Alligator mississippiensis: one gene and its partners. The protein of the gene in region 1 purifies or fractionates together with the protein of each later gene. This does not show direct contact. Links are inferred from orthologs where the notes say so. Each region holds a gene or a part of one and is shown in the gene's direction. Other genes may lie near its edges. The genes, in order: HDAC1, CCT5, EHMT1 and GSE1.

Evidence for each region.
Region 2: the proteins of HDAC1 (region 1) and CCT5 purify together in Homo sapiens (affinity purification with mass spectrometry; 3 studies listed by BioGRID and IntAct, counting the BioPlex papers as one, with this or other methods). This does not show direct contact. The link is inferred for Alligator mississippiensis from reciprocal best matches to the Homo sapiens genes HDAC1 and CCT5.
Region 3: the proteins of HDAC1 (region 1) and EHMT1 purify together in Homo sapiens (affinity purification with mass spectrometry; 4 studies listed by BioGRID and IntAct, counting the BioPlex papers as one, with this or other methods). This does not show direct contact. The link is inferred for Alligator mississippiensis from reciprocal best matches to the Homo sapiens genes HDAC1 and EHMT1.
Region 4: the proteins of HDAC1 (region 1) and GSE1 purify together in Homo sapiens (co-immunoprecipitation; 7 studies listed by BioGRID and IntAct, counting the BioPlex papers as one, with this or other methods). This does not show direct contact. The link is inferred for Alligator mississippiensis from reciprocal best matches to the Homo sapiens genes HDAC1 and GSE1.

Annotation. Positions count from the first base shown.
Region 1 is NC_081829.1:5,643,515-5,651,196, forward strand, and holds the start of HDAC1 (histone deacetylase 1), read left to right. Parts: upstream 1-4,666; 5' UTR 4,667-4,737; coding exon 4,738-4,786; intron 4,787-7,682. Other genes in the region: tyrosine-protein kinase Lck, read left to right, coding at 1,017-1,148, 1,451-1,653. UniProt on the Homo sapiens protein: Histone deacetylase that catalyzes the deacetylation of lysine residues on the N-terminal part of the core histones (H2A, H2B, H3 and H4).
Region 2 is NC_081826.1:139,954,790-139,961,876, forward strand, and holds the start of CCT5 (T-complex protein 1 subunit epsilon), read left to right. Parts: upstream 1-4,081; 5' UTR 4,082-4,145; coding exon 4,146-4,250; intron 4,251-5,691; coding exon 5,692-5,752; intron 5,753-5,840; coding exon 5,841-6,005; intron 6,006-6,464; coding exon 6,465-6,663; intron 6,664-7,087. UniProt on the Homo sapiens protein: Component of the chaperonin-containing T-complex (TRiC), a molecular chaperone complex that assists the folding of actin, tubulin and other proteins upon ATP hydrolysis.
Region 3 is NC_081835.1:51,864,147-51,871,227, forward strand, and holds the start of EHMT1 (histone-lysine N-methyltransferase EHMT1), read left to right. Parts: upstream 1-4,078; 5' UTR 4,079-4,117; coding exon 4,118-4,180; intron 4,181-7,081. UniProt on the Homo sapiens protein: Histone methyltransferase that specifically mono- and dimethylates 'Lys-9' of histone H3 (H3K9me1 and H3K9me2, respectively) in euchromatin.
Region 4 is NC_081833.1:73,915,050-73,921,875, reverse strand, and holds the start of GSE1 (genetic suppressor element 1), read left to right. Parts: upstream 1-3,816; 5' UTR 3,817-3,892; coding exon 3,893-5,698; intron 5,699-6,826.

The DNA of each region.
Region 1 (7,682 bases):
AGCCGACCTGAGCCGGGCAGCTGGGGCCTGCAGAGGCAAACTGCATCATCCCAAGACCCCAAGCCCCATGCACTGCTGCCTGTGACCTGGGAGAGCATCACCTGCCTGGTTCTCATAGGAACAGGCTGGTGTCACTTCTGCCCCCAGAGCAGAGAGCGAGGCCATAATGGGCAGGGGGCTGCGCTCAAGGCACCCCTTGTTAGACTTAAGGCACCTTTTGCTCTTAGTTTTCACTTGATTTTTGACTGCAGGACAAAACCCCAAACAGAGCAATTCTTTTGTTGCAAAGAATTCAGGAAGACCACAACAGGTCAGAGTGCCTTTTCCACTGGAGATTCCTCTTTGAAATCTCTGGGTTTATCTTGTGAATCCTGTTTGCACACCTAGCATGGTATGGCACTCTGCAGCACCCCTGAATGGATCTCAAGGCACCCCAGGGTGCTGCAGCACCCTGTTTGAGAATCGCTGTGCTAGGTACAGAGGTAACCCAGGCCTAAGAGGGCATCCCTGAAGGAGTGAGGGAAAGACAGCTTCCCCTAGCATGGGGCAGGAGGGACTTTGAGGTGGGGCACGTGACAGTGGGACTGCTGCTTTTTGCAGAAAGGGACATAGAAATTAGTGAAAGGAATAGCTAGGGCTGGGGCTAGGAGAAACGGAGGCCCCCTCAGACCTGTGAAAGCAGCAGCTAGAGACATTTCTAATACATTCTCTGGAGCAGAGGGGATGCTGTGCTTGGCATTAGTTGCAGGAAGCCTGCCCAGTAATCCACATCAGTCTGAGACTAGAGCCCTATCTGGTGGCTATCTCAGGAATAGGCATCATTAAGAGCCCAGTGATGGCAAGACATGCCAGGGCTGTGGGTGCACCACGCCAAGGGAGTTTCAGTGAGGGCAGGGCGCAAAGGGATATGCAGGTGACGTTCAAGCCCGCACATCAGCTTTGTGGGTTTAGGGCAACAGCAGTGACCTTCTTCCTTCTCCTATCCCCCGTCCCTCTTTCTCCTTGTGTATTTTCAGGAGCCAAATTCCCCATTAAGTGGACGGCACCCGAAGCTATTAATTATGGTACATTCACCATCAAATCTGACGTCTGGTCCTTTGGGATCCTCCTCACAGAGATCATCACCTATGGCCGGATCCCCTATCCAGGTTAGGATTTTTCACAGCAGTGCAGCCTGTGCCTGCAGTCAGATCAAAAAGACATTGGAGCTGACAGGGGCTGGGTGTACCTCCATGCCCCCACACTGACCAGCAGAAGGTGCTCTACGACACGGGGGTGGTTGCAAGGGCCGAGAGTTACCCTGGTTTCAGACTCGGCAGAAGGCACTGCAGGGTGGCTGGCTGCAGGAGCCGGCCGATGCTCCTCTACTCCCAGCAGAGGTCAGCACCGGTATATGGAAGTGGCTCCCTTCCCTGGCTGTTTCTGACTGTTATGTGTGTTGTATGTGCAGGGATGACGAACCCAGAAGTGATACAGAATTTGGAGCGGGGCTACCGAATGCCTCAGCCAGATAACTGCCCAGAGGAGCTGTACGAACTGATGAAGAAATGCTGGAAGGAGAGGCCAGAGGACCGCCCCACCTTTGAATACATGAAGAGTGTGCTCGAGGACTTCTTTACTGCCACCGAGGGCCAGTACCAGCAGCAGCCATGACAGGATGGGGCTGGAGGCATCCTCGTGTCAGGATGGGCGGAGGGGAACAGCCCCTATGCATTAGCTCCTCAGAAACTTTATGCAGATCGGGCCTTGGCATTTGGATCACAGCAAACGCTGGCAGGACCTCAGCAATCCCTCCGTCCATAGCAAAGACGCGTGTTCCTGGAGCACGCTCAGCCAGCAGACCTTGCCTCAGAGCAGACCGGAGGCACTGAACTGACAAGTGTTTTGACCCAAGATGCTGCTAGGTCTCTTTCTGAACTCCCTGTGCAAGTATGCACGTGCTACTTTACCCATCTCAGTGCCATGTGCACACTGGCCTTATGTTCACTCACAATGCATCTGTCCAGATAACCACACAGATACACGGCCACGCAGGTGGTCACTGCCTAGACCATATTCGTTCCTGCGGGCCTCGACACACCCATGCTATACAGAGAGTGTACTCCTAGCAAGAGGCACTGTCAAGTCTTATAAACTTCTCTTCAGCAACTATAATCACAAATTTGATCTGAAAATAACATAGGGAACCAGCTCACTTACAGTCTCAGATAATGCTCAGAATACAACAACAATTGCACTGGATCAGCTGGACCCCATCTCAGCACTGATTTTCCACAAAGAGATGCTCAAAGGGCTACAAAGTGGAACTCCCCATGTCCCTTCCACCCCCAAGTTCCCCCTGCAATATTTCTTTGGTGGTTTTTTATTCCTTTCTGTAGTGGAGATGGATGGTACATCAATGCTAAGGTGTTTTGCATGGATGTGCCAGCTGTGTGACTGGAAGCTGTCCAAGGCTGGGGCTGTGATCAAGGCATGCAAATAGCTGCACTCACCACAGGTACTGTAGAAGGACACAGGGCCCATTGTGCAATGCAACAGGGGCAAAACCTCTTCACATGAGAGCTCAGATCCCTGGAAGATGGTGTATAGGACACCACTGTCCATGTCTGTTGGTCCCAGGGTCACCAAAGCAGTCATTCTCTGCATTGCTGACATCTTTCTTCACTCTGAAACCACACTGCTGGACTCTGACTAGCGCCGTTCACACCAACAACCTTTTAGAGAGTTTGGTAAAGTAGTTATCAGATTCAACCATGTTATGAAAGGGAGAAAGGAGTTTACAGTCAGGAAGAAAAAATGCTGATTGCAGCTCAGAAGATCAGGCTAGATACAGACTTTCAAAAAACCTGAAGCGGGAGCGACCTAAGTTGCGTGGTTTTCAGTAAGCGGCGTAGGTTAGGTCAGTAGCGAACAGAACACGTTCCCTTTTTGATGTGGGGGGAGGGCAAATCTTAGACTGGGGCCCGCCAGTTTTAAACCAGTCTATGTGTGTCGAACTTCTGTTATGGGTATAGGCTGGTTTCTAATCACTTCGACTGGTAAAAGTGCAATGTCTGTATATGGTCTCACCCAGTGAGAAGCAGAGATGCACAGGACTCTGCTCCAACCAGCAAGACTGCTTTGGTTACCCCAAAGCCCAGACACTGGCATTTTATAATATACTTACAGATGGATTTGAACAACACCGTTAGATCCAGAACTGGACCCTCTCAGAATTGGCACCAGACCAGTGGGGGTGGGAGTGTGAGGCTCTAGGTAGGCCCATCAAGGAAGGGTTTCAGCATAGTCTCACTAAAGGCTTGCTCACCAGAAACCCACCCAGAATTTTGCTTTAGGAATGAGCCATCTTCACTGTAAGATTTTTCTTTCTCCATTTCATTGTAAAGCCCTGTCCTGTATTGCTGTTTTACTTTCATTAAACAACAAAGTAATCATGTGGCTCCATCCGATCCGTGGCAAGGAAGATCAACACATCCTAATCACACGCTGGGGGTGCACAGAGCTGAGGGTGGGGTCCTGTCATGCCGAGTAAAAGGTGGTGGACCAGCTGGCCCTGCCTTCTGCTGCTCGGGCATCATGCAACAGCAAACCTACTTGGGGTCTGAGTCTCCAGGATCCTGAGTCTCTTGTGTAAGTGTAGGGCAGGGGTTGTCTCAGCACATCAGAATCGGACCCTAAGCACAGCAACCCTTCATGTTTCACAAGAGACGTGACACCTGGCGGGATGGCTGAGGGGAACCGGCAGGATTAGGATTTGCAGACGGGCAATGCTGGCATCCCAGGGAGCTGGTGCGACTCATGGGGCAGGCAGGGAGTTTGCAAGGCTGGCCCTGCAGCCAGGGAGCCATTGATGCTAAGTGGAAGTGAGGGTGCTTGGGCAGGTGGGATCCAAGGGAGTATTCAGCCCGTGGCAGGGGCTGAGGGGTGCAGCCAGCACCTGAAGGGTGGCGTGGGACGTGGGGCAGCACTGGGCACACCAGGAAGTGAGATACCACAAAATGGCTGACTTGTTTGGCACCAGTTCAACACATTGCTCCCAAGCACACAGCTGGAGCCAGGGGCCCCCCCCAGTGCTTTCCCACAATGCACTGCTGTACTCACCCCCTGGTAACCAGAGACCCCTAGGCACAGGGCTGTCTGGCCAGGCCAGATGTGCAGCAATGCTTTCCCACAATGCACTGTGGCACCCACCCCCTGGTAACCAGAGACCCCTAGGCACAGGGCTGTCTGGCCAGGCCAGATGTGCAGCAGTGCATTGTGGGAAAGCAGTAACAAGGGATGCCTGTGCAGGCAAAGAGCACGCCATGGAGGCAGGGGTCAACTGGTTCAGTCCTGTCTGCTTTGACTGCCTCTACCATGGGCATGGTACACTCCTATCTGACCCCCCTTCGCCATTCTTGTAGAATGGTACATCCCGATGTACCCAGACCCTCTCCTAAGAGAACCGTCCACCCCCCTTCTCCGGGATTGGTACAGTCCTGCCAGCCCGTTCCTTCCACGGCGTTTGCTCTCTGAATGGTACAGTCCAGGAAACCTCGCTGCCTACCTACCATGCTGCCCCCTGGCTCCTCCTTCCCTACCTTCTGATTGGTCGTCTCGAGAGCACAGGGCTAAAGCCCCTCCCCGATAGGTCGGCTGTCCCGCGGGGGCGGGGGGAGGTGGGTTGTGGGGTGCCTTGGCCCCTGGGGCAGGTTCGGTTGAGTCGCGAAGGGTCTGTCGCTGTCGGGAGGCAGGAAAATGGCGCTGACGCAGGGGACCAAGCGGAAAGTCTGTTATTACTATGATGGTGAGCGAGCGGGGTGCACGGGGCGGGGGGCAGCAGGAGGAGGGGCTGCAGGGGGCTGCCCTGGGGGGCACGGAGGGTGCTCCCTGGATGGTGGGGGGGAGGGGCGCCCCTTGGCTGCTGGGGGGGAGGGGCACCGAGGAGGGGCCCCTGGCTGGGGGGGAGGGGCGCTGAGGGGAGGGGGGGCCTGGTTGGTGGGGGGAGGGGCGCTGAGGGGAGGGGGGGCCTGGTTGGTGGGGGGAGGGGCGCTGAGGTGGCCCCTAGGGGGCGCCTGCCTGCATGGGGGAGCATCGAGGAGGGCTCTGGTGACACCTGGCTGAGGGGGGGACGACACTGAGCCGTGCCCTGTGGGGTGCCTGGCTAAGGGGGGCACTGAGGAACATCCTAGGGGGTGCCTGGCTGCAGGGGGGTGGTGTTGAGGGCACCTGGTAATGGGGGCAGGGGCACTGAGGAGGGCCCCAGCGGGGGCCTGGCTTGGGGGGGCCCTGAGGAGCTGTGTGGGCGAAGGGAGCCCTGAGGGGGTCCGAAGGAGCAGCCCCCATGGAGGCCTGCGGGTCTCTGAGGAAGGTGCCGCAGGAAGAGGAAGTGAAGCTCTTCACAACTCCTGGGTGTGCAAGGATGCATCGAGACAGCCTTTCCCTCCGCACCGGGGAGCTGCTGTGACACGGCTTGTGATTTAAGGCCTGGCAAAACTTGGCGGGACTGTAGATGTAGTGCGTGTGTGCAGGGATCCAGGCTTTGTGCTGCTCTGGGCATCCCGTGGGCCTTGCCCAGGTAATGGGCTGACCGAGGCAGTTGGCTCTTTCCCGCTGCGCTTGCAAAGGGAGGGATTGCAGTCGCTCTGCTGTGCACGTTCGCTACCGCACGGATGGCCGGGCTGTCTGCCAGCAGGGGGAGGTGTTTTGGGAGAGGTGCATCGATCTGCACAAAATGGATCACGTCGTCCTCCTATAGATGATAATGTTTTTAGTAGTGGAAGCTGGCTAAAAATAGCTGTTCTCGTTTGGTTTGCTTTGGGGCCAGAGGATGTTTTCAGTCATCATCCAGACTTGGTTGTCTAAATAAATTCATTCAGTATCTATTGGGGAATTTTCATCACTCTGGTGTAGTAACTTCCAGTACTAACTGCTGATGTTGTCAGGAGATCCATGCCTTTGACTTTTGCACAGCGTCCCATTGCCTGACGTCCCTCGGCACCCTAGTTATTAACCTACACCCTGCACCCCGTTGCTGTTTTCTCATGGTTTTTGTCCCATTGGCCTTGCTCTAGTCATTGAAGGGGGGCTGTTAGTTTCTGGTGGGCATAGGCCCACCATCAATATATAACAAATAGTTTTTACTTGAGGGGTGTTCTGCACAGGGTTCTCCCCATGCCCGTCTTGGTGCTGTGCATGGACCATAGGTCATTTGCAGTGATGCGATTCTGATTTCCTCACCCCGTCATTCTACTTTCCATCGCTCTGAGCAGCTCTGTCTGTGCACGTTTGATATTAAATCAGAATATTGGTGAGCTCCCAGTGCTGAAACTCGGATGAAAACTTCAGGGTCCCTGGAAATGCTGGTTTATGTTCCTTGCACTTGAGGAAACACTTCACCTACTTAAGTAATTCAGATATTGCATGAAAATGTCTGTGTCTGGAGATCCTTTTGTGTTTAGAAACATATAATTGGTCATCAGTGCATGAGCCTCTTTGATTATTAAGTGAGGAACTAGGAGGCCCTTCTGCAGTATGTGTGTTTCTTCCCTGCTCCCCAGCAAGATAACTAATGCGTGCTAGTTGTTTGCACACGAGGTAGCTAAGTGACAACTGTATTTGATGTTGCTAGTTTACCTCCTGGTAAAACTGGATAATTAACTATCAGTAGTTACCTTGTGGTAAAAACATTCCTTTTTATTGTCAGTTAACATGCAATTGAACATGCTTCAAGTCCATCTTATTTTAGGGCTCTTCCACACAGGGGAGCTAGTGTGGAATAATCTTGGGGTGAATTTAAATTGCAGTAGCCATTTTTTTTTTTTTTTTACTGCGTGCATGCATGCACTGGCCTTGCCCAAGTAGGCCACCTCATGTTCTGGCAGCAGATAACAGTGGCAACCATGAAAGCCTGTGCACACAGATGTGCTTCTGTGGCTCTTTGCAGCTCCACTCTGCAGCCCTGCCACCAGAGAGAGTGCAAGCACACCCTGGCAAGGCAAAAACTACGCAGCTGGCAGAAGGTGCTGGATTGTCTACATAGGCCTTCAGCTTGCTGCCAGGTGGAAGCAGAAGTCTTATTCCTTGGCAGAGGTGGAGTAAGTGCAAGCAAAAGGGAGAAATTGTGCCATCACAAGGGAGACTTGGTGTGAAAGTGCTTACATTTTTGCTTGCAGAACTTTGTAATGTAAACTAGACCTCTTATTTAAGGCTGATAGTGAGGAATAGCTACTGTGCTTTAAAGTCACACCCTAGAATTTTCCATGTTTAGTTCCTCTTTAAACAAATCCTTGAAACGGCAGATATGTCCACTGCTGTAAAAGGGAAATCTGGTAACTTAATTTTGTTTAGCAAAGTAAAAACCTCAAGATACGATCCTCAATTCAAAGCATTTACAATCGGTCTTCTGTATTTAATTGAGAGCCCAGGGCATAACTGTAACAAGTGGCTGTTTTCTCCTGGGCTCCTGTTCGTTTAGCAGTTAGATTGGGGCTTCACAAATATTCCCTAGGGAGACTCTTTAGCTTTTTCTCTGGTTACCTTTAAGCCTTTTTTATATTTAAAATTAACCCTACCTTTAACATGGGTGCTGTTGCCTCCATACAAGATTCTGTTGTAAGCAATGAGAACTGCAGTTTCACTCCAAATCATGTTAATCTCCAGTGGAGATTGTGTCATTCTTTGTCTATCCAGAGACTTGTATT
Region 2 (7,087 bases), on another chromosome or scaffold:
AGCACTCTCCTGTGTCTCAAGAACTGCAGAAGCTGAGGAATATTTCTTGCCAGCCCTCCTGGAGTGAGCAGTACCCCCACACTATGAGCTGATGAACATGGCTGCATCTTAGCTCCTGCCTTTTTATACTTCCAGTCTTTCTGTCAGGTGACAATCTGATTAGTCCTCATTGCAGGGCAAATGTGGTGGTGGTGGGAGGGGGGAGAGTTGACAAGCCTGTTGGGTAACTTTATTGCTAAGATAAGGTTTTCCCTGGTGGAGGCCGGGAAGAACGACAGCTCTGCTCAATGAAACCCAGCTTCTTACCCAGCATTTGCACGTGAATACCAGACCACCTCCATTTAAGGCCTACTTACTACTCAGTCTGTGCTACCAACCTCTAGAGTGTCAGGCCAACACTGAAAACAGTAAAGAATAGAAGAGAAAAAGTTAGTAACAACAAGCCCACAAATCCAAAGTGGAGCCAGCAGCTTGGCAAAGATATATATACAGCCTAGCCAACTTTACATAGTGTTGTCATCCAAACCATTAGCATTGCCACACTCAGTACCCCTGCAGCAGCAAGGTCCCTTATTTCTGCTGGCAGAGCAGCACCACTTCTGTAAATTACAAAAGGTTTTTGCCCAAAAGCATACATAGATGTGCCCGCACTTTCTGCCAACTGCTGAGGCACCTTTACCAGCTGATGCCTCCCAGAGTGCCCCTGCCAGAAACTGCGCAAGCAGAGACATGCTCTAGTGGCTTCCCTGTGGTGGCTGCTGGGTGCCTACAGGCAGCCTGTATCAAAGACAAACCCAAAGAGTTTGTAACCTTGTAACCACTGAAAGCTATGGCAAGAGTCCTCAAATCAATGGGAGCTAAACGTTTTGGCAGAAATGGCACAAATTAGCCCAGCACACACCCCCAGTGCCACTCCGATCCCTTTCCCTTACCCAATGTGCTGCTCAGCTTTCTGCTCTTCCCTATGCTCCATGCTGCTCCCTGGCCTATCTGTCACTGTGCTGCCTGTTCCTTCCTCAATCTGCCACATGACACACACGGAAGTTGTCCGTGCCACTTACAGCCCCCAGGCTGCAGATTAGCCATCCCTGCCCCAAATCATCATTCATACTGAAATGGTGTTTTGTAATCATGTAAGAGAGACTTACAATAGCAAACACATGATTAAAAAAAAAATACTCTCTCCAATACATACTCACCTTTTTGGTCCACAGTTAAGTTTTACGGATGTGGCTATAAGCAGATGAGAAATGAGACACTGTTGGGTTGATCATGCAGATTTCATAACAACAATGCACCATGAACGATCCTCTATCAATTGCTATTAATTTGTACCTTTCTTTACCCAAAATGATATTTTAAATGCCACTACAATTTTACTGGACAGTATACAAATTTATATGATCAGTATGCTGTATGCATTTTATGGTAAAAGGTAGTTTAACAAATGTTAGGTTTGCAACAATAAAGTACATATGTTATTTCAAAAACCAAAAATATGCAGACATTTGATTTTTGATCTCTTGCACTTTGCTTTCACATATTAAAAGGGCCAGTTGGTACTATAAACACTAATTTACTGAAATTACCATACTTTCTCAAACACGACATACACCTTTTACCCAAAAAATCAGACCCCCCATTGGGGTACGTTTTAAGCAAAAAAGCTATGTTTCTGGCTGGAGATACAAGCACCCTACTGTGATTCTGCTCCACAGTGTAGCAACTTGAGTATTACTACAGGTTTCCCTCATTTTTTGTGGGTTCTGTACGTGCGAATTCGCTCTTACGCGATGACCCTTTTTATACCAACAATTCGTTATATGCAAGGTAAATTCACTCTTATGCGATCTGTGTGGTGGAAACCCGCAGTCAGCTGCTTTGTGCATAGCACTGTGGGAGTGACAAGCACCAAAATATAGGCTCCTGTGTGGCTGTTCTCCTTGCTCGTTATCTGCAACACGTGTTTCTGTAGTTCCCATCCCCATTATGATAGTGCTCAGTGCTTGTGTGTACTGTCTGCTGTTGGTGAGTACAAAAATTGTTTTGCGAAAGTGATAGAAATGGATCTGGGGGTCAGTACAGTCAAGGTCTTGGAACATATCCCTATTTGTTACATTGTAAAGTGGGTTCCCTTTATGCGAATTCGAGTTATGCACTGCTTTCCAGGAACGCATATACAGCATAAAGTGAGGGAAATCTATATTCAGGCTACTGAAGGAGTCAACTGACTTAATGGCTCATTGTTCTTCACTCCAGAGATGTTAACAATCCTCTCTCCTTTTTAATGGTGTTGATGTTCTCCTAATCAAACTAACCTTTCTTTGGGCAATTTTGCTGTGTGTTCATTTGTCTTGGTCTCTTATTTCACAGCTTCTTTAGCTGTTTTCAAAATTGGAAAGCTACCTATAAACTTGCTGGATGTTTGCTGGATTAATAAAGTCTGCTGGCACGTGCTAATTAACGTACTATAGCAGCCTCCGCGTCATATGTATTCAGTGTCCTGCACTTCAAAATGGTGGTGGGGGCACTTTAACTAAAACTCATCAAATGAGCTTTAAGTTAAAGTGCCCCCGCCACCATTTTGAAGCACGGGACACTGAATACAAGTGATGCTGTGGGTTCTTTAAATACAGCGGCTCTCAGAGCTGCTCTAATTAAAGTGCCCCCCTTCTCCACCCTGGAGCACATGGAAAGACACCCATGGCAACCAGTCTTCAGCAACAGCTTGGGCTTTAGCTAAACCAGAAAGGGAGGATGATATAGCTAAAGATTCAGCTCTCTCTTCTCAGAAACCCTAACTCTGGAAAAAGCTCCCCCCCCTCCCACTTTGCCTTTCAAAAAAACAAGGTGCTGTATTTGGGGATGTGTTGTATGCAAGAATATACAGGTATAACTGAGCATCTAGCAAGATAAAGAGATCATTTTGGAACGTGTGTGATAAAAGGCACAGTGGGCTGATTTCTTGCCTGCTTCTAGTTCGGACCAATTTGGCAGTGGGGCTCAGTGCCAGGAGACTTTGCTGTAACTAGTTTTGTAAGCAGGCCACCTACATGCTTGTCACCTGGGGACAGGCAGCAGTCTGTGCTTGGCAGCAGGGCCCAGAGATTGCTCCATGACTGATCCCCTGTGACTTTGTTCTATTGTGGGGGGGGGCTGAGCCTCGTCCCCAAGCTGCTAGTTATGGCAGCCACAAGCACGGGGCGGGAGTGTGCAGAGCTGCCCTGCCTCAGGAAAGCAAGGGGGGCTCTGAGAGCTGCGAGAAAGGGAAAAGACAGAAAGGGCAGATCAGGGCACTTGAAGCAACTCCTGGCAAAGCTCATAGCAGCCCCCCCACACAGCGGGCACCACAAGGACCAGGGCAGGGGGCGGGGCCAGAACGTCCGCGAGCCAATAAAGGGCAACTGCCCGCCCTGGAGAGGGTCCTTGAGGCGGGAAAACACTGAGCCGCTTAGCTGAAGTGCCGCGCTTGCGCATGCTTGAAGAAAGCGGCCCGGTAGGAGGGCCACGGAACTTGAGCGTCTGTACTGCGCATGCGCGGTCCACAACCGCGCGCGTGCCTTCTCTCGACGTGAGATAGTCGCTCCTACCTCGGGCACAGCCCGCTTCAGTGCTAACGCTGGCTCCAAATATGGGTTTCCCCGAGTTTACCCATGGCTCAAGTTGCTACCTACGAAACCCTCCCCTGCCACCACTCACCTCCCGCGCAGGTCTCGCGAGGCTGCAGGCCCCGCCACATCCGGGCACTGCGGCACGGGCGATACCATCCGGCGCGGGGGGGAAGGAAATGGTTTGGGTAGATTTTATTGGGAGTGCAGTACTCGCACCTCTGTCCCCTCCCTACTCACACAAGGCTCCGACCCCGTCTCCCTCCCCGTGGGCTGCAGAGCCCGCGCAGTGGCTGCGACGGGCGATTCCGTTAGTGGTATTTCCCCCGGGAAGGGCGGGGCCTGGGCAACAGCCACGCCTCCCCCGTTCCGACGCTTCCAGAAGGGTTCGGCGGGGGCGCCACATTAGTCACGGGCCACAAACCCTGCCTGGGCGAGGCGGTTGCGCAGGCGCGGAGTGACATCCCGCGGAGGGGGTGGGGCTAGGGGCGGTGTGTGCTTGGGTTCTGCTTGGTGTAGGGCGGCGGCAGCGACATTATGTCGGCCATGGGGACTCTCGCTTTTGACGAGTACGGGCGGCCTTTCCTCATCCTCAAGGATCAGGACCGCAAGAGCCGCCTCATGGGGCTGGACGCCCTCAAGGCAAGTGCCCCGCGCCCCGCCCGGGGGGGCCTTCGGGCCCGGCGGCCGCGGCCTGCTTCCCCCCTCCGCTTCCGCGCATGCGCAGGGCCCGAGCCGGGGTCCCAGGGGCTGCTTCCACTCTGCTGCGGGGGGGGGATTCGTGGAGGTCTGCGCATGCGCTGGACCCGAGCGCGCCGGCTCCATTTAAGAGCGTGGCTAGCTGGTGGCGGTGCCCACGTGCTTGGAGCTGCTGCTGCTCTCTGAGATGCCGCCAGCGGTGCTGGGCAGGAGCCTGTCTGTACCTGGGCTCTCTCATGTAGGCCCTGGGGGTTTGCATCCACGTGCCTGGTTATTATCGGAGCCCCCAGGCAAATGCCAGCACCTAGGTTGCACTCCTGTTTTCTTGCCCACCGAAGAATGCCAGAGCCGAGCTTTTGTTCCAAAAAGTGTGGGCCCGCAGAGTGGTTTCAACACTGGACTCCTGCTTGAAATCTCTGGGTTTCTCTGATGTTGCGTGTTTGCATATCTAATGGCTAGTGCTGCCTAGCATCCCATAGCAGATCTCGAGACCCTTCCTCCCCCCCGGGTGCTGTAGCACCTTGATTGTGACTTTCTGGTCTATGGGTACCATGCTGCCTCCTGGGCAGTAGAGGAATATCCGTGTTAGCAGCTTTCTTTTTATTATGCTGTCATGAAACACTGATTCTCTTAGACTGGGGTAGACAGATGGCCTCTCTGGGGCATGCAGCAGATGAGGGAGGGGACAAGCAGTACAGCAGCAGGTAGGGTAGGAAGCAGAAGACAAGAGTTGGGCAGAGAGTCCAAAGTGGGTCAGGGGAAGGGGAGCAACCTTTTTATCAGGCATTTTATAGATTAATCCTGTGCCCTCCCCAAGTACCACAAACCCCTTCTTCTGCCAGCTCTACTGCTTTGATTTCTGCTCCCTGCCTGATCTCCTTCCTGTGCTTAACTGTGCTGCATGTCTTGTATTGAAAGCTACTTAGGGCACCTGTACATGCACAGGGAGTCTGCTCAGCATGTTGAGCAGACTTGATAAATTGAGCCTGCTTGAGCATGGTAATTACCAGGCTTCAGCAGACTCCAGAGTGTATCAACTTTCCCCCACTGAAAAATGGCAGCAGGAGTGCTGTTTAAGCTTTAATTAAAGCACCACCGCTGCCATTTTTCAGCACAAGGACACTGATCCACAAGACACTCTGGGTACTTTAATTAGAGTGGCTCTTGGAGCTACTCTTTTTAAAGCAGCCTCCCCCCACTCACTCCCTCACCGTGTATAAATGCCCTTATGTTCCTATGATAGTTTCTCCTGTAAGGCAGTAGAATCAAGGTCTCATTATGGTTGTTTTTATATAATTTACTTGGGTAGTGTCATTAGGAAAGTATTGTGACTTTGAGGCAATTAACTTGTTTTTTAATTTATATTTGGACTTTTGTTTCATAGTCTCATATCATGGCAGCAAAGGCTGTGGCAAATACTCTGAGAACATCACTTGGACCCAATGGTATGTATGAGAAGAAGATTGAAGTAGTTCTCTTTTAGAGGGTTTTTTGGATATTCAAAATGCAGTAAGTTGCAAATATTTTTTTCAGGCCTTGATAAAATGATGGTAGACAAGGATGGTGAGGTGACTGTGACAAATGACGGTGCCACTATTCTGAGTATGATGGACGTGGATCATCAAATAGCCAAACTTATGGTAGAACTGTCTAAATCGCAGGATGATGAGATTGGGGATGGAACAACAGGAGTTGTTGGTAAGAAAATACTTCTAATTGGTTTAAAATGTAGTGAATGCAGTCAAACTTAACTTTTTCTTTAGGAGGCTGGGGCTGCATAAATAACTCTAACGTGCTTGGAATTTTGAATTGTTCAGTATGTTGGACCTTGTTGCAGCTCCTCTTAAAAAATGAGCCCTTCCTGATACAGGAGTCTAAACTTCGAGCCAGTGTTATACATCCTTTCTATGTTTTACTTTTTCTTGTGTTTTACAATTTTTAAAATTCAAACTCATTTTTTTTAAGCAAAAGAAATAAATAGGTTATCTTCCCAAGGAACATGACCATCGGATGTATTCTAAACTTCTGTGTCATTTAAACTGTAACATTGCAGCAGCAGGTCTATTAACCCAAATCTTTATGTGCTCATAGGGTCTTGTAAGTCGAAATCATTTAAAATGTTCAGTGACAGTAACTCGTCTGAATTTTGTTTTATAGTTCTGGCTGGTACTCTGTTGGAGCAGGCTGAACAGATGTTAGATCGTGGTATTCACCCTATGAGAATTGCAGATGGGTATGAGCAGGCAGCTCGCATTGCCATTGAACATTTAGACAAAATCAGTGACAGCTTTCCAGTTGATCCACAGAACACTGAACCTTTAATCCAGACTGCAAAGACAACTCTGGGCTCTAAAGTGTAAGTTTACATTGGAAAAACCTGGCAAATAGAGTTTGGTACTTCAGGCATTTTGAGAGTGAACTAAGAACCTTTTCATTTGCTTTTTTGCTAGGATATAGTTTGTTACATGCAGAGCTGTCCCCGGGGAGGGGGGTGCGCAGACAGTGGCGTACAGGCCCTGCAGACAACACCATTGGCATGTACAAGGGGTGCTGTTACTCTGCAGCCATTAGTTTTGTGCTCTGGCTGCTCACTGCCCCCCACAGGCCGATGTGCCCCGGGCTCTGCACACCCCTAATGTCAGCTCTGGTTACGTGTGTCAAGTTTAGGAAGCACTTGCAAGATAGCATAAGGTACTGAAAAACTATTTTCCATGCAGGAGTAGAAAATGAGCAACGTGATAAATGAACTTGCATTGCAGTACTGTATGTTCCAGTATGTT
Region 3 (7,081 bases), on another chromosome or scaffold:
CAGCATTTAACTTTGTTGTAGTTTTGGCTTAAAATCTTTGAACAGACCCAGGTTTCAGATTGTGAGGTAGAACATGAGTCCAGGAGCCTGCTCAGTACATTTCAGACTGGGGCTTCTCGCCCTGCAAGGTGTTCAATGGGCATTTGGTGTCTCCAGCATTGGGAATTGAGGGGGATTCAGCACCTCGCAGGAACGTACCCCCCTAAAGATTCATTGAGGGAGGAAGGAGGCATTTTAATAACTTGTTGTGAAGCTGATGAGTAATTTTTAACAACAGGGGAAAAATATGAAAGCTCCTTTTGGAATCCTAATTTATTTTTATAGACGGTTTCTCTACCCCTTAAACTCTCCTGTTCACTATGTTTTTAAGATAGCCGAAAAGAGAAAAAGCAGCTTCGGTGCTGGGTAGGGTATGAAAACAGCAAGGGAGGCAAGGCAAAATCAAAAAAACTCCTGTATTTTGCTGGACCAAATATTGGTCATCTTCTGACAGTAGAAACATTTTCCCTTCCCTCCCACTTTTATTTCTTCTTTAAAAGAAGCTGTGAAAATGACACATGTAATGGTGTAATTAAGCAAAAGCCCTTAGGAACCATGTGTGCTTTGTTGAACAAAGGTTGTCGTTCTGCTGTCTTTTTCTCTCTTTAAAATGTGAGATCCTAAAAGGATATTCAAGCCTCGAATCTCAGAACAGGCCAGAGAGCCACGAGTTTAAAAATATCTGCTAGTTTTAAGGTCCTGGGCAGAACACATTTTTAAAAAGCAAAGTGATACAGTGTCCCTAGCAAGGCAACCCACACAAGATACAGTTTGATGATGACCTTGCTTGGGTTAATTTGAGAGAAGGGGGAAAGGAAACAAATCTTAATTGAATACAAATGGCTGGGTTTTTGGTGTTGTTTATGTGCTGGTTCATTCCACTAGCAACAAATCCTTAGGAAGTCCACCTCGGTCATCTTCATGACAGCCTTTCCTGGCAAAGGTGGGGAGGAGAGATCAATGCAACGTGATTCTACTTTTCTGAAGTCACCGAATAGTTAACTTGTGTAACCATCTTCTTCCCTGGAATGTCAGTTTTCTCTTTCCATCCGTGCCTGTGCGTGCGTGCACATGTGTGTCTGTGGGGATATTTGCGTGTGGGGTACAAAAGATGGCTCCTTTTAATGTCTTGCAGGATCTGTTTAAAAAGAGGTTGTATCTGTGCTCTCCCTGACTTCCATGAAATGGCTGCAGTTTCCACAACACTAAGACGGCTGAAAGGAAATGGTCTCCTCTCTGAGCATGCTTACTGTGGCACACGGACCTGTAGAGGGAGCTAGGTCATGTGGCCAAAGCAGGACTGTTGTTCATGTGGACCAAGTAGGAAACAGAGCAAGAAGCACTGTAGCTTCCATCAAACAGTAAGCACCTTAAAACACGACTACAGCTTCGTCCTGGGCATTAAACAGTAACATGACAGCATTTGGGTCTGTCACGACACAGTTAAACTCAAGAGCTGCGAACAAGTTTGTTGTTCAACTTCACTCCTAGGTATCGTAACTGATTATCTCCATGCGATTTGCAGCTTTCCATGAAACGGTTTTAGTTCCAAAAGAAGAGATTTATTTTTTTTATTTTTTTGCTCCTGAAGCAGACATGATGCACATACCAGTGTCGCTTTAGGAGACTGGCCTTTGAATGGCAGTGTGGTGCAGCTAATGATGTGTGAGATTTTAAGGGCTGCTTAGGAGCTCATTTTTTCTCTTTGGACTTCATAAATGTAAAGAACTTGACCATAACCTCAATAACTAATGCACAAATCATGTTGGTCCTTTTGTACAGTGTCACTGTGACACTGTGAAATGTGCCTGGTAAGATGCTAATTGATTGTTTTGCTTGAGTTTTCAGTGAATTGTTGAAGTGTCCCCAATATGCTGTTTGAAAATGTGTCCGTCTGTAAGGCTTGGGAAAAGATGCTTTCAAAATGGAGGGGAGACTTGAAAAACAAATTGGCATCTGCATTAACTTCTGTTTTCCATGTATTTTTAACTTTAGCAGTGAAAACATTTCTAGCGTTGAGCTGCAGTAAGAAGTGCTGTCTTTGTGAGCCTACTGAAAGAATGAATACTGTAACATGGTTTGAGAGAAATTTTAGCTCTAAAAATGTTTTGACTATATTACCTCTTTTGCGTTTGCAGTTGTTATGAAATTCGTTGTATCCCCTTCCATATTTTTTGATGTTAGGTTTATAAATTCATGCTGCAAAGAGGGATAACAGTAGACAGACCTATTTTAGGGCTGTCTTTGGTTAGAACTACAGTATTCCTTTTGTTGCAGTGGATAATATACCTTTGTCTGTCTTGTCAGGTTTTGTTGTTTTTTGGGTGGTTGTCTTTTGCGTTTTTCCTTTTTTATATTAAAGAGGTTACCGTTACATTTCCAGTGATTGAAATAAAGGCCAGAAAAAAAATCCCATTGATATGCCTTGTAACTTAAAGCTATTTTAGAAAAACAACCCAGGAGTAAAGGTGATATCCTCACTTCCTTCTGTCACCTTAAGTTTCCTTGATCAATTTTATCCTCTCAATTTTGCCTGGCATGCTTTAACCATTTGGTAGTGAAACGTGTCTGAAGTGCTTGGAGAGAGGAAAAGAGCATCATTTTAGTAGATGCAGTGCTATGGAAGATTGCTGTTGCTGTTTTAACCATTACCACTTTGCAAATGTCTATGTGCAAGATGGTGAAGTAAATGCATGGGGTGGAGAAAATTGATATTGCTTGTTTCCAGTGTGTGATAATAGAAGATCATGACAGTCTCTTGCATTGCTAAATAAAGGGAAGAAGGGCAATCTTGTAGGATTCGCTTCACTGTGAAAACTAGAATTTAGTGTACTTGATTCTCGTGCATTGTCTAAAAGATGTAAAATTGGGCTTTTCAGCTTCTCACTGTGAATTTTCATGTGTTTTCTCCCTTTGTGCAGGCCAGGCTTTCCCTCTTCATCTCAGTTCATTGTGATGCAATATGTTGAACTAGTGGCTATTTTAATGTTGAGCCTTAAAGGGAAACTTCTTCCTCAGTCCTGCTTTGTGGGAGAATTGCATTTTTCCATGTTGAAGAACAAGCAGGAGGTACTTGACTCCATTTAAGAATTTCCCTTCTTTCTCTCTTCTCTTCCATCCTCCCTTCCCCCTTTCTTGTGGGAGGTGCTCCAGAAAATATTAAACATAAAGAAACCCACGTACGTTGGCATTGTGATAAATATGTCACTTTTTGCATTTGAATCCAGTCCAGCTGATCTCTGCTTACAGATGTTCCTGCGAGTTGCTCAGGCAGTTTTACTGGGAGCTATAGCAGATATGAGGGTTGCCAAGACTTTGTGCTTAATTGTGAAACGGAACAGAGACAAACTACTTGTGATTTTGAAGCTAAAATTTCTTCTTTTATCCTGCTAGCTGGGCCAGTTGTATCTTATGGTTCGACATAGGCTCAGCTCAGGAAAGTATTAGGTGCAGTACTTCTATCAGTTCATTCGCTTTTTTTTCTTTTTGATGATTATGTTTCTGATACGTTTTTAAGGTTGGTAACGTAAGCTCACATTGTATTATAAATCTCTGAAGTGAAAAATTGACGGCCCTTCAACTCAGCGGATCAAATCTCAAATTCACTTTCAGTTGGACACTGTACATTTGCTGATTGACCCACGTGCATTTATCCCAGCATTCAAAAGGCGCACAGTTTTATTAAGCAGAATATAATTAGCACATGCGCCCTCAAATGTAAATGCTAATAGGCAGCATCTCTTTTTCATAGGCAAGGAAGGGCTACTCTTGAAGGCCACTGTAACAGAACACATTGTTGCATGGTTTTTAAGGGGGGTTTTCAGGCTATGATCAGTCTTAGGCTTGGCATTGTGTCAGAATGTTGACAGATTATCTTTATTAACTGTGTATTGTACCAGGACAGACGCTGTATCCCTCTGATGCCTTAGATAACAGTTGCTCCAATGGAAGCCCTTAAGTCTGCAGGTTCTCTGTGAAATGGCTGCAGCTTGGAGTGAACAGTGAAATGGTCTCCACTGGGCATGCTCACTCTGTAGAGGGAGCTTTTATCACATGAGCAGAAACTGAATCACTGTTCATGAGGATCTGGAATATGCAACTCTTTGAGTCTTCATCAAAAGAAGACAACAGATGTCTGCAGGTACAGTAACTTGTAGTGTCCATGCTCCATATGTCATAAATAGCAGATTCCCTCAGGTTGTGTCCGCAGACAGACTATTGTCAGGTAGAAAAGGAGAAACCTTTGAGAGGAGGAAGACAGTTAAGATAATCATGGCTGGATTTTGTATTTATTTTGTTGTCCTATGCAAGAAAGAACAGCACAGCAGAAATGTGTGTATTGCCTAGTGAGACAGCAGCGTGCAGGATGGGGTGTGGGCTTTCTTTCAAAGGAGGAGATTTAGAGAGTGGCCAGGGCAGGCGCATGCTTTGCAGACTTTCTGGCTGCTGTGATGACTGTTTTGTTCAGTAAACTTGTACACAGTTCTGAGTCTTAAATGATATGTGTCTGTCTAAGGAAGCTGGCACTCCGATTCTACAAATCCAGTGAGTGTCTACCTTGTCTTTTTGTTTGGAGGGGTGTTCCTGTTTAGCATGGAGTCTCTTTCAAGTGTTTGGTTCTACCTAGGGCTCCCCCTGCCCCTCTTTTCCATTTCATATTGGAGAAGGGGGGGTCTTTAAACTCTGGGAAGACCAAGCTTTCAAAGACAAGAGAGGGCCTGCAGAAGCATTTCACCTGCTTGCTAGAAACAGTTTGACAGCCTTGGCTGATGCCAAGCAAGCCTACAGTTCAGTTTTTGGGATGGCAGGAGGGCAAAGGTAGCCATTTATTCGGAGAGGAGAATCCTTTCTTCATTAGCCTGTCATCCAGACGAGGGACTGAGTGAACCATTGGGATTTTCTTTTATTTCATGGCAAAAGCTGCCTGCTGGCAGGCTATTTAAAATGTTGCTTAAAACTGTCACATCTCACTCTGCCATGTTGCTTTCCTGTTTACATTCTATGTTAACAGCCTCCTGGTCCTGTCTGTGATCGACAGAAATAAAGACCTTCTGAGCTAGGGTGTGTACTTCAGTCTTGACCTTCACTGTTGTCCCTTGATTATTGCAGAGCTGCCAGAACTGTGGGTGATGCTACCACCCCCTGCTGGCCTGAAAAATTTAGGCTGGAGTCTCACAGTTGTTGGTTTTAGAGAAAGCTTTTACTGTTACTTTAATAGATATTAATTTTTTATCTACGGGGAAGAAGCAAAAATGCCATCAGAAAGTAAGGGGAACGATGAGAAAAATGTCTGCCTGCTGGACTGCAAATGCTATCATGAATGTTGTCTTGCGAGTGCAGGTTGAAAGCATGTATATCAAAAATGACGGTGAAGAAACAAACAGGGTTTCTTTTAAAAACTATTGAGAAAAAGCAAATTCCTTGTCTGAAATCTTAAGCTGTAAGTTCCTTTCCAGAAACCTTGAGGTTTGAGTTGCAAATGGGCTTGTAATAAAGATGCTGAGGCAACAGAGATTACCACTGGGGCAGACATGTGTCCGTATGATATCATGACTGTAGCGCTATCAGCACGATAGACTATTCCTAAGCATTTTGAGCAGTCCAGGCATACAGACTGACCCCTGGTAAATGCCTTCAAAAGATGCTACCGTCCATCTTTATATATAGCTTTAAAATTCTGGGTCTGTCTTCAGCAGCATAGGGGTTAATAGCCATAACCTTGTGTGTTCAGGTCTTCATTTGTCCCTGTTATTTGAAACTAACCATTATGCTTCTTTTGTGTAGTCATAATGCATATGGCCTACAGTAGCCCTTCAAAAGACATGGAAATTTACTAGCCCAGATGCAATCTATTTGACTGTCCCTGTCACCGTTATACTAGGAGGACTGGGGAAGAGGGGTAAATTACTCTCAATATTTTTTTGATTGTCCCCAAACCAATGGGTAGGTCGAATTTTTCTAGTCTGATCTGTTTGCATTTCTGTACTGTTCTGTGGAAAACGCACAAAAATGTAATGCTGTTTGGTTAGATGTGGAATTCGGGATGTGCTGGAGGATTCAGCTGAATTTATTTATTTTTTAAAAATTTTTTTAGGGCATTCAGGCAACTGATTTGCAGAGGTGCTCAGTACCTGCAGCTCTTGTTGCCTTTATCTTCAGTTGAATGCTCAGCATCTTTCAGAATCATGCCCTCCATAATCAAGACTTGTCTGCTGACATTGTCACCCGAGGGTGGTCAGTGCCCTTAACTCTTCATTGAGCCAAGGGCAGTCCTCATCTTGCAGGATCAGGCTGGTTCTGCGTCTGGATATCATATGGAACACGAGCATTCGGGCTGGTTGTATTGCAGTGCTCATTTATTTCCTCTTCTCCCAGGATTTGAAACCTACCTAGTAACACTGGTATGCTGCAAGAATCCCAATGCCAGTGTGACCTTTCTTGTGTGGTACCATCTCCTAATGACAAAGGATCACATTCTTTTTGTACAATGGAAGGGAAATTTTTCATTCAGACGAATAAGGACATTTAGAGACCCTCTGCCCTCATGACCAGCAGGTTTGTGGGGTAGGAGGCAGATGGTACCTTTTTTTTTTTTATTGTTCCTGCTTTCCGCACCCCCCCTCCCTATACATTTCTTTCCTCCTGTTTCTGCTCCTGATACTTGGAAGGGTCAGACAATCAATTTGGAGACTTCTGTCAAACTGGAATGACAGAATAACCTTGCCTTTCACTTAAGGGCTAAATACTTGAAGTACTGAAAATCATATGCTAACTGCTGCAGTAGGCTTGAAGCTTGTGTTCTTCCTGTGCAATCTACCATCAGCAATTTAGAGACAAATCTCACATGTCACCCTTGCTACCTTTTTCAGAGCTTTTTTTTTTATTACTGAAAGTTTTTAGGGTTTTGAAATCAACTTCCCTTAATAGAGAAGAACCTGGAAGCTGTAACGTGATCTTCCCTTTATGTCCTGTTTCCGTCATTCTGGTATGAATTCAGCTCCCCCCCACCTCCTCCTCCCCTCCATGCTTTTTATTTGAACTT
Region 4 (6,826 bases), on another chromosome or scaffold:
CACGTTCAAACGAAAGCTGGATAGAAACCAGCCATGGAGCTGTTCCGTGTTATCAAGCCCTTACTTTGTAGCAGGTCGGCTCTTTTTGAGGCCGGGGATCATCCATTTTTAGGATGGCATCATGACATTGCACATGCGGTCGGTCAGTATGTATTGCAGTGAACTGCGCAATATAGGCAACGTAGCAAGGGGCCTCTGGGACAGGACTCCACCTTTGCCCACCAGCTGCAGAGTCGTTCCATATTTTCAAGCCTTCACTTTGGGAGCAGATCAGATCTTTTTTTGGAGAGATTGGCCTTTTCTGGTGGGATCGTGATGTTGCACATGTCAACATTTATTGCATGATGCACCACTCCTTTGCGCAAAGTAGGTAATGTGTAGCCGGGTCACAGGGCTCCACCTCTGCCTGCCAGCCATAGAGTTATTTTCAAGCTCTCACTTTGTAATGGGTCGGATCTTCTTGGGAGCTGGGATCATCCTTTTTCAGGTGGGATCCCAGTGTTGCGTGTGTCTACATTTACGGCGCGATGCACCAGTCGATTGCATAATATAGGTAACGTGTAGCAGGCACCCCACTTTTTCAAGCCCTGACTTTGCAGTGAGTCCACTCCTTTTTTAGAGCTGGGATCCTCAATTTTCTGGTGGGATCATGACATTCACATGGAAGCTGAATAGAAACCAGCTATGAAGTCGTTAGACGTTTTCAAGCATAACTTTATAGCCGGTTGGCTCCTTTTATAGCTGGAGAGTCATCTTTATCACACAATCATTACTTTCCACAGGTGGCTGGTCTAAATTTATGGTGCGATGCATCAGTTCATTGTGCAATATAGGTAACATGTAGCAGGGGCCCCACCTTTTCAAGTCTTTTTTTTTTTGAGCTGGTACCATCCTTTTTCTAGGGGGATCCCAAAGTTGCACATATTGACATTTATGGCACAATGCACCCGTCATATGTCTCAATATAGGTAACGTGTTACAGGGGCTGTCTACATGTGGACATTTATGGTGCGATGCACTCTTCATATGGCACAATATAGGTAACATGTGGCAGGGGCCCTCCCCTGGTAGCGAGTGAGCTCTATTTTTCGGAGTGGGGGCTATCCTTTTTCCGGGGGGATCACAATGTTGCACATGTCAACATTTATGGTGCAATGTGCCTGTCCTAATATGCAATAAAGGTAACACATGGCAGGGGCCATGCTGGGGTGGACATTTATGGCATGATGCATCTTTCCTAGCATGCAATACAGGTAATGTGTGGCAGGGGCACATGTTTATGGTGTGACACACCCATCTTAGTGTGCAATACAGGTAACACATAGCAGGGGCCATGCAGGGGTGGACATTTATGGCACAACACACCCATCCTAGTAAGTAATACAGATAATGCATGGCAGGGACTGTGCAGGTGTGGACGTTTATGGTGTGACACACCCTTCCTAGTGCACCATAAAGGCAGCGCATGGCAGAGGCCATGCAAGAGTGGATATTTATGGCACAACACCCCTGTTTTAGTGTGCAATATAGGTAACACATGACAGGAGCTGTGCAGTGGTGGACATTTATAGTGTGACACCCCGGTTCATTGCACAATACAGGTAATGCATGGCAGGGGCCGTGCAGGGGCAGACATTTATGGCGCGAAGCACCTGTCCTAGTGCGCCATAATGGTAATGCGTGGCAGGGGCTGTGCATGTGTGGACATTTATGGTGTGATACACACGTCTTAATGAGTGATACAGTTAACGTGTGGCAGGGGCCATGCAGGGGCGGACATTTACGGCACAACACAAGCGTCCCAGCGTGCCATAAAGGTAATGCATGCCAGGGGCCATGCAGCTGTGGACATTTATAGCCCATCCTAGTGTGTCATAAAGGTAACGTGTGGCAGGCGCTGTACAGCTGTGGTCATTCATGGTACGATGTGCCTGCTTTAGTGCACAATACAGGTTACATGTGACAGGGGCTAAGCAGGGGCAGACACTTATGGTGTGACGCACCCATCCTAGTGTACCATAAAGGTAATGCACGTGGGTGTGGGCATTTATGGCGTGTTGTAGCACATCATAAAGGTACTGCATGGCAGGGGCAAACATTTACAGTGTGATGCACCCGTCCCAGTGTGCCATAAAGGTACCGCATGTGGGCGTGGGCATTGATGGCTTGTTGTAATGCATCAGAAAGGTACTGCACGGCAGGGGCCATGCAGGGGCAGACATTTATGGCATGACACACCAGTCCCAGTGCGCCATAAAGGTAATGCATGTGGGCTTGGGTATTGATGGTGTATCCCAGTGCATCATAAAGGTGCAACGTGGCAGGAGCCATGTGGGGGCGGACATTTACAGTGCGACACCTTCTGTCCCAGTGCGCCATAAATGTAACATATTCAGGAATGGGGCATTTATGGCTTGTTGTAGTGCATCAGAAAGGCACTGCACAGCAGGGGCCATGCAGGGATGGACATTCATGTTGTGACACCTGCCCCCACCCCATCTCAGTGCGCCATAAAGGTAATGCATGTGGGGTGTGGGCATTTATGGTGTGTCCTAGTGCATCATAAAGGCACTGCACGGCAGGGGTGGCCATTCACGGCACAACATCCCTGTCCCTGTGCACCATAAACATAATGCATGGGGTGTGTGGACTTTATGGCATGTCCAAGCGCAAAGTAAAGGCACTGCCTGGCAGGGGTGGCCATTCATGGTGCGACACCCCCATCCCAGTGTGCCATAAAAGTAACACACAGGAGGTGTGGGCATTTATGGCATGTCCTAGCGTAGTATAACAGCACTGCCTGGCAGGGATGGCCACCCCCCGTCCCAGTGTGCCATAAAAATAACACACGTGGGGGCATGGACATTTGATGGCGTGTCCTAGCATATCATAAAGGCACCGTGCAGCAGCAGTGACCACCCCCATCCCAGTGCGCCATAAAGGTAATGCATGTGGGGGCATGGACATGTGATGGTGTGTGCTAGCATATCATAAAGGCACTGTGCCATAAAGGTAACACATGTGGAGACACGGACATAGTGTCCTAGCACATCCTAAAGGCACTGTGCCATAAAGGTAATGCACACGGGGGCATGGACATAGTGTCCTAGCACATCCTAAAGGCCCTGCGCCACAAAGGTAATGTGCGGTGACACGGACATAGTGTCCTAGCACATCCTAAAGGCACCGTGCCATAAAGGTAACGTGGCGACACGGACATTGTGTCCTAGCACATCCTAAAGGCACTGCGCCACAAAGGTAACACACGGTGACATGGACATAGTGTCCTAGAACATCCCAAAGGCACCGTGCTATAAAGGTAACGTGTGCAGGGGCATGGACATTGTGTCCTAGCACATCCTAAAGGCACTGTGCCATAAAGGTAACACGTGGAGACACGGACGTTGTGTCCGGGCACATCCTAAAGACACTGTGCCATAAAGGTAACGTGCACAGGGGCACAGACAGCGTGTCCTAGAACACCCTAAAGGCACTGTGCCATAAAAGTAACGCGGGTAGGGGCACGGACATTGTGTCCTAGCACATCCTAAAGGCACCGTGAGGCAGGGGCGGCCCTTCACCCCGTCCCAGCGCGCCATAAAGGTAACGCGTGCAGGCGCGGACACCGACGGCGCGTCCCAGCGCACCCGCGAGGCGCCCCGGGCCGGGGCTGGGCATTGCCGCTGCTGCCCGCTCCGTCAAGCGCGCCATAAAGGTATCGCGGGGCAGGCGGCTCCGCCCGCAGCCCGGCGCGGCGCGGCGCGGCGCGGCGGGGAGGAGGAGCCGGGGCCGGGGCCGGGGCCGGGGCGGGGACGGGGATGGCGCTGCGGAGCCGGCGGCCAAACTTCTTGCGGGGACAAAGTTAGCGCCGGGCAGCGGCCCCCCCGGCGCGATGAGCGAGGCGCCGGTGTCCCGCAAGCAGCGGCTCATGGCCGCGCTGGAGCGGCCGGCGGAGGACGGGGAGGCGGCGGCGGCGGCGGCGGCGGAGGAGGAGGACGGCGGTGCCGGGCTGCGCTGCTTCGTGTGCGGCGGGGCCATGGGGCGCGGCCAGGCGCTGAAGCTGCAGGTGAAGCCTCCCCGCGAGCGGGAGCGGGAGCGGGAGCGGGAGCGGGGCCGGGAGCGGGAGCGCGGCCCCTTCTTCCCGTTCCTGCAGCACCAGGAGCCGGCGCCCGGGGCGCGCGGGGTGTCTGCGGAGGGCTGCGCGCTGGTGTGCGCCGTGTGCCGCTGCTTCCTGGGCGAGCAGTGGGACGCGTTCGAGCGCAGCCGCACGCCCCTGGACAAGCGCATGTACTGGCTCAAGCGCCCGCACCAGGGCGAGCCCAGCAGCACCGGGCAGCGCCGCGCCGCGCCCGCCTGGAGCCTGCCCGCTGGGCGCAGCCGGGCCAGCAGCACCAGCAGCAGCCAGCCGCTGGAGGAGGAGGACGAGGACGACGACGAGGAGGTGGTGGAGGAGGAGGAGGAGGAAGGCAGCGACTCCGAGCTGTCCTCCCTGTCTGAGCCGCGGGCGCCGGAGATGAGCGCCGGGCGCCTGGCGTGGGAAGAGGACGGGCCCCCCGTGCCCGCTTGCTACATCTGCGGGGTCCCGCTGCCTCCCGGAGCGCAGCGCCCCGTGCACGTGCAGAAGCAGGAGCAGGCGGCCCAAGCGCCCTTCTTCCCCTTCCTGTGGCTGCACAGCCCGCCGGCCGGTGCCCGGCCCATTAACGCGGCGGGCAGCACGCTGGTGTGCCCCGGGTGCTTCGCGTCGCTCATGCAGCAGTGGCAGGGCTTCGAACTGGCCGGCGTGCCCGTGCTGCAGCGGCTCTACGTGGTGCCACTGGGCGCCGGCGTGCACCGGGCACCCGGGGGCGAGGCCGGGCCACCGGAAGCCTGCTACCTGTGCGGCGAGGGCTGCGGCAAGGAGGCCAGGCCGGTCTCAGCTAAGATCGCCAACGGGAATGCCAAGAGTGCCATGCACTTCCCCTTCCTCAGCCTGCTGCCCTGCCCGCCCGGCGCCAAGGGGCTGAGCAAGCACTGGGAGGTGAGCAGCTGCCGCAAGTGCTACGGGGTGCTGCAGGACCTGTGGGCCATGTACCGGGCTTGCCGCGACGAGGAGCTCATCACCTCCGTGCAGAGCTTCCTGGGCAGGTACCACCAAGTTTTCTCTGGCACCGACGCAGCCGGGCACCCAGTGGCCAAGCCCAGCCTGGCCTCCTTCTGCTACATCTGCGGGGCCGAGCTGGGCACTGGCAAGGAGTTCCAGCTCAACGTGAACCCCCCCGGGCGCTTTGGGGAGAAGGAGCCTTTCTTCCCCTTCCTCACGGTCTACCCCCCAGCCCCACGGGCCAGGCCAGCCGATGCCACGGGGCTGGTGTCCACCTGCGTCCTCTGCTACCACGACCTGCTGGGCCAGTGGGCGCAGCACGAGGGCCGCAACACCCACCACCCCAGCAGCGCCTGGTCCCGGCAGTACAAAGTGGAGACCTTCGTCTGCTTCTTCTGTCGCCAGGAGAAGAAGCGATGCCTCGGATTAAGGGCCGTGTGCGTGGCCCGGCTCCCCGTGTTCCTCTACACGCTCCGGGTACCCAACAGCTTGCTGGTGGACGACGGGAAGCAGCTGATTATTGGAGCATGCCCGGACTGCAGGGCGGTGGTCCTGGCTGGCAAGAGCATGATGCCCCCGGACCTGCTGGCTGCACCACCTCCGATGACCCTCCCCAAGGTAAGGGCCTCCTGCCTCGATTTCCCTGAAGTTGGGGTGGGTGGGACGGTCGGGCACTTGGTTTCAGCGGTGGGTGCTTTTTTGGTTCATCTGATCCAGGAGGTAAACGCCTCTGGGGTGCTTTGTTGCCAGCCGGTCTTGGGGGGGACCTTGCTTCCTCGTGGGGTCACCGCCGTAGTTGCGAGGGGCTGTGCTAAGAAATGCAGCCAGCATTCGTGCCAGCTGCTTTGGTGCAAGTCTGCCCGTGTGCCGGATCTGTTCTCAGGCCAGAACCGCAGCCGTTGCCAGGTCAGGCAGAGCAGCGAGTGTCTCCCTCCCTTTGTCCCAGCCCGGAGAGCCTTCAAGGGGCAGGCCTGCCCCCGGTAGCCGAGGGCCTGGGGAAGCTGGCCCTCTCCTAGGAGCAGCATTATCGAGCGATGTGGGTGTTCGCAAGAAGCTGCAGCAAAGTTTCCCATCCAAGGAACGCGAGTCCTGGCAGCAGGCAGACCGCTTGCTGCTGCCCGGATCGGCTTTCTGGGGCAGGGGGAGGTGTTCCTCGCGCCATCTGCTTTTCCCTGTGGGAACGAGCCTGTCTTTGCAAGTCAGATGTGCAGGGGCCACGAAAACCGCCTGGGATTCTCCTTCCTACGGGGCGCCAGCCTGCATGCTGCGATGAAGAGCGATGCCTCATCTGATTCTCATCAGCAGCGGGGAGGGGGGCAGCAGGTCTTCAGTGGGCCCGCGCGGGTGGGAAAATAATCGCCGTGTAGTCCGTGCTCCCGCCGTTAGATCCAGGTCTTCCTGTTAGAGCTGCCGGCTCCCAGACCAGCTGCAGGATCCCCTTCCAGCAGGGAAAGGTTACTGTGGAAATTGCCAGCTTGTTTGCCCGGACCTTATTTTTCCATCAGCTGGAACGAGATCCCTTTTGAGTCCGTGCCGCTCATCGCAGGCTAATTATAAAGTAGCTCGTCTGGAGAGATGGGTATGGAGCGGAGCGGGCCTGGGAGCGAGGAAATCTGTTCCTGGCTCTCTCTGCTTGGCTTCGCTCGCCTGGTTTCGCTCGCCTGTGAAATGAGGATAGATACCTCCTTGCAACTGTTTTGCAGGCGTGGGGTCTTGCCTACACGGGAGTGTTGATCTGAATTAGCC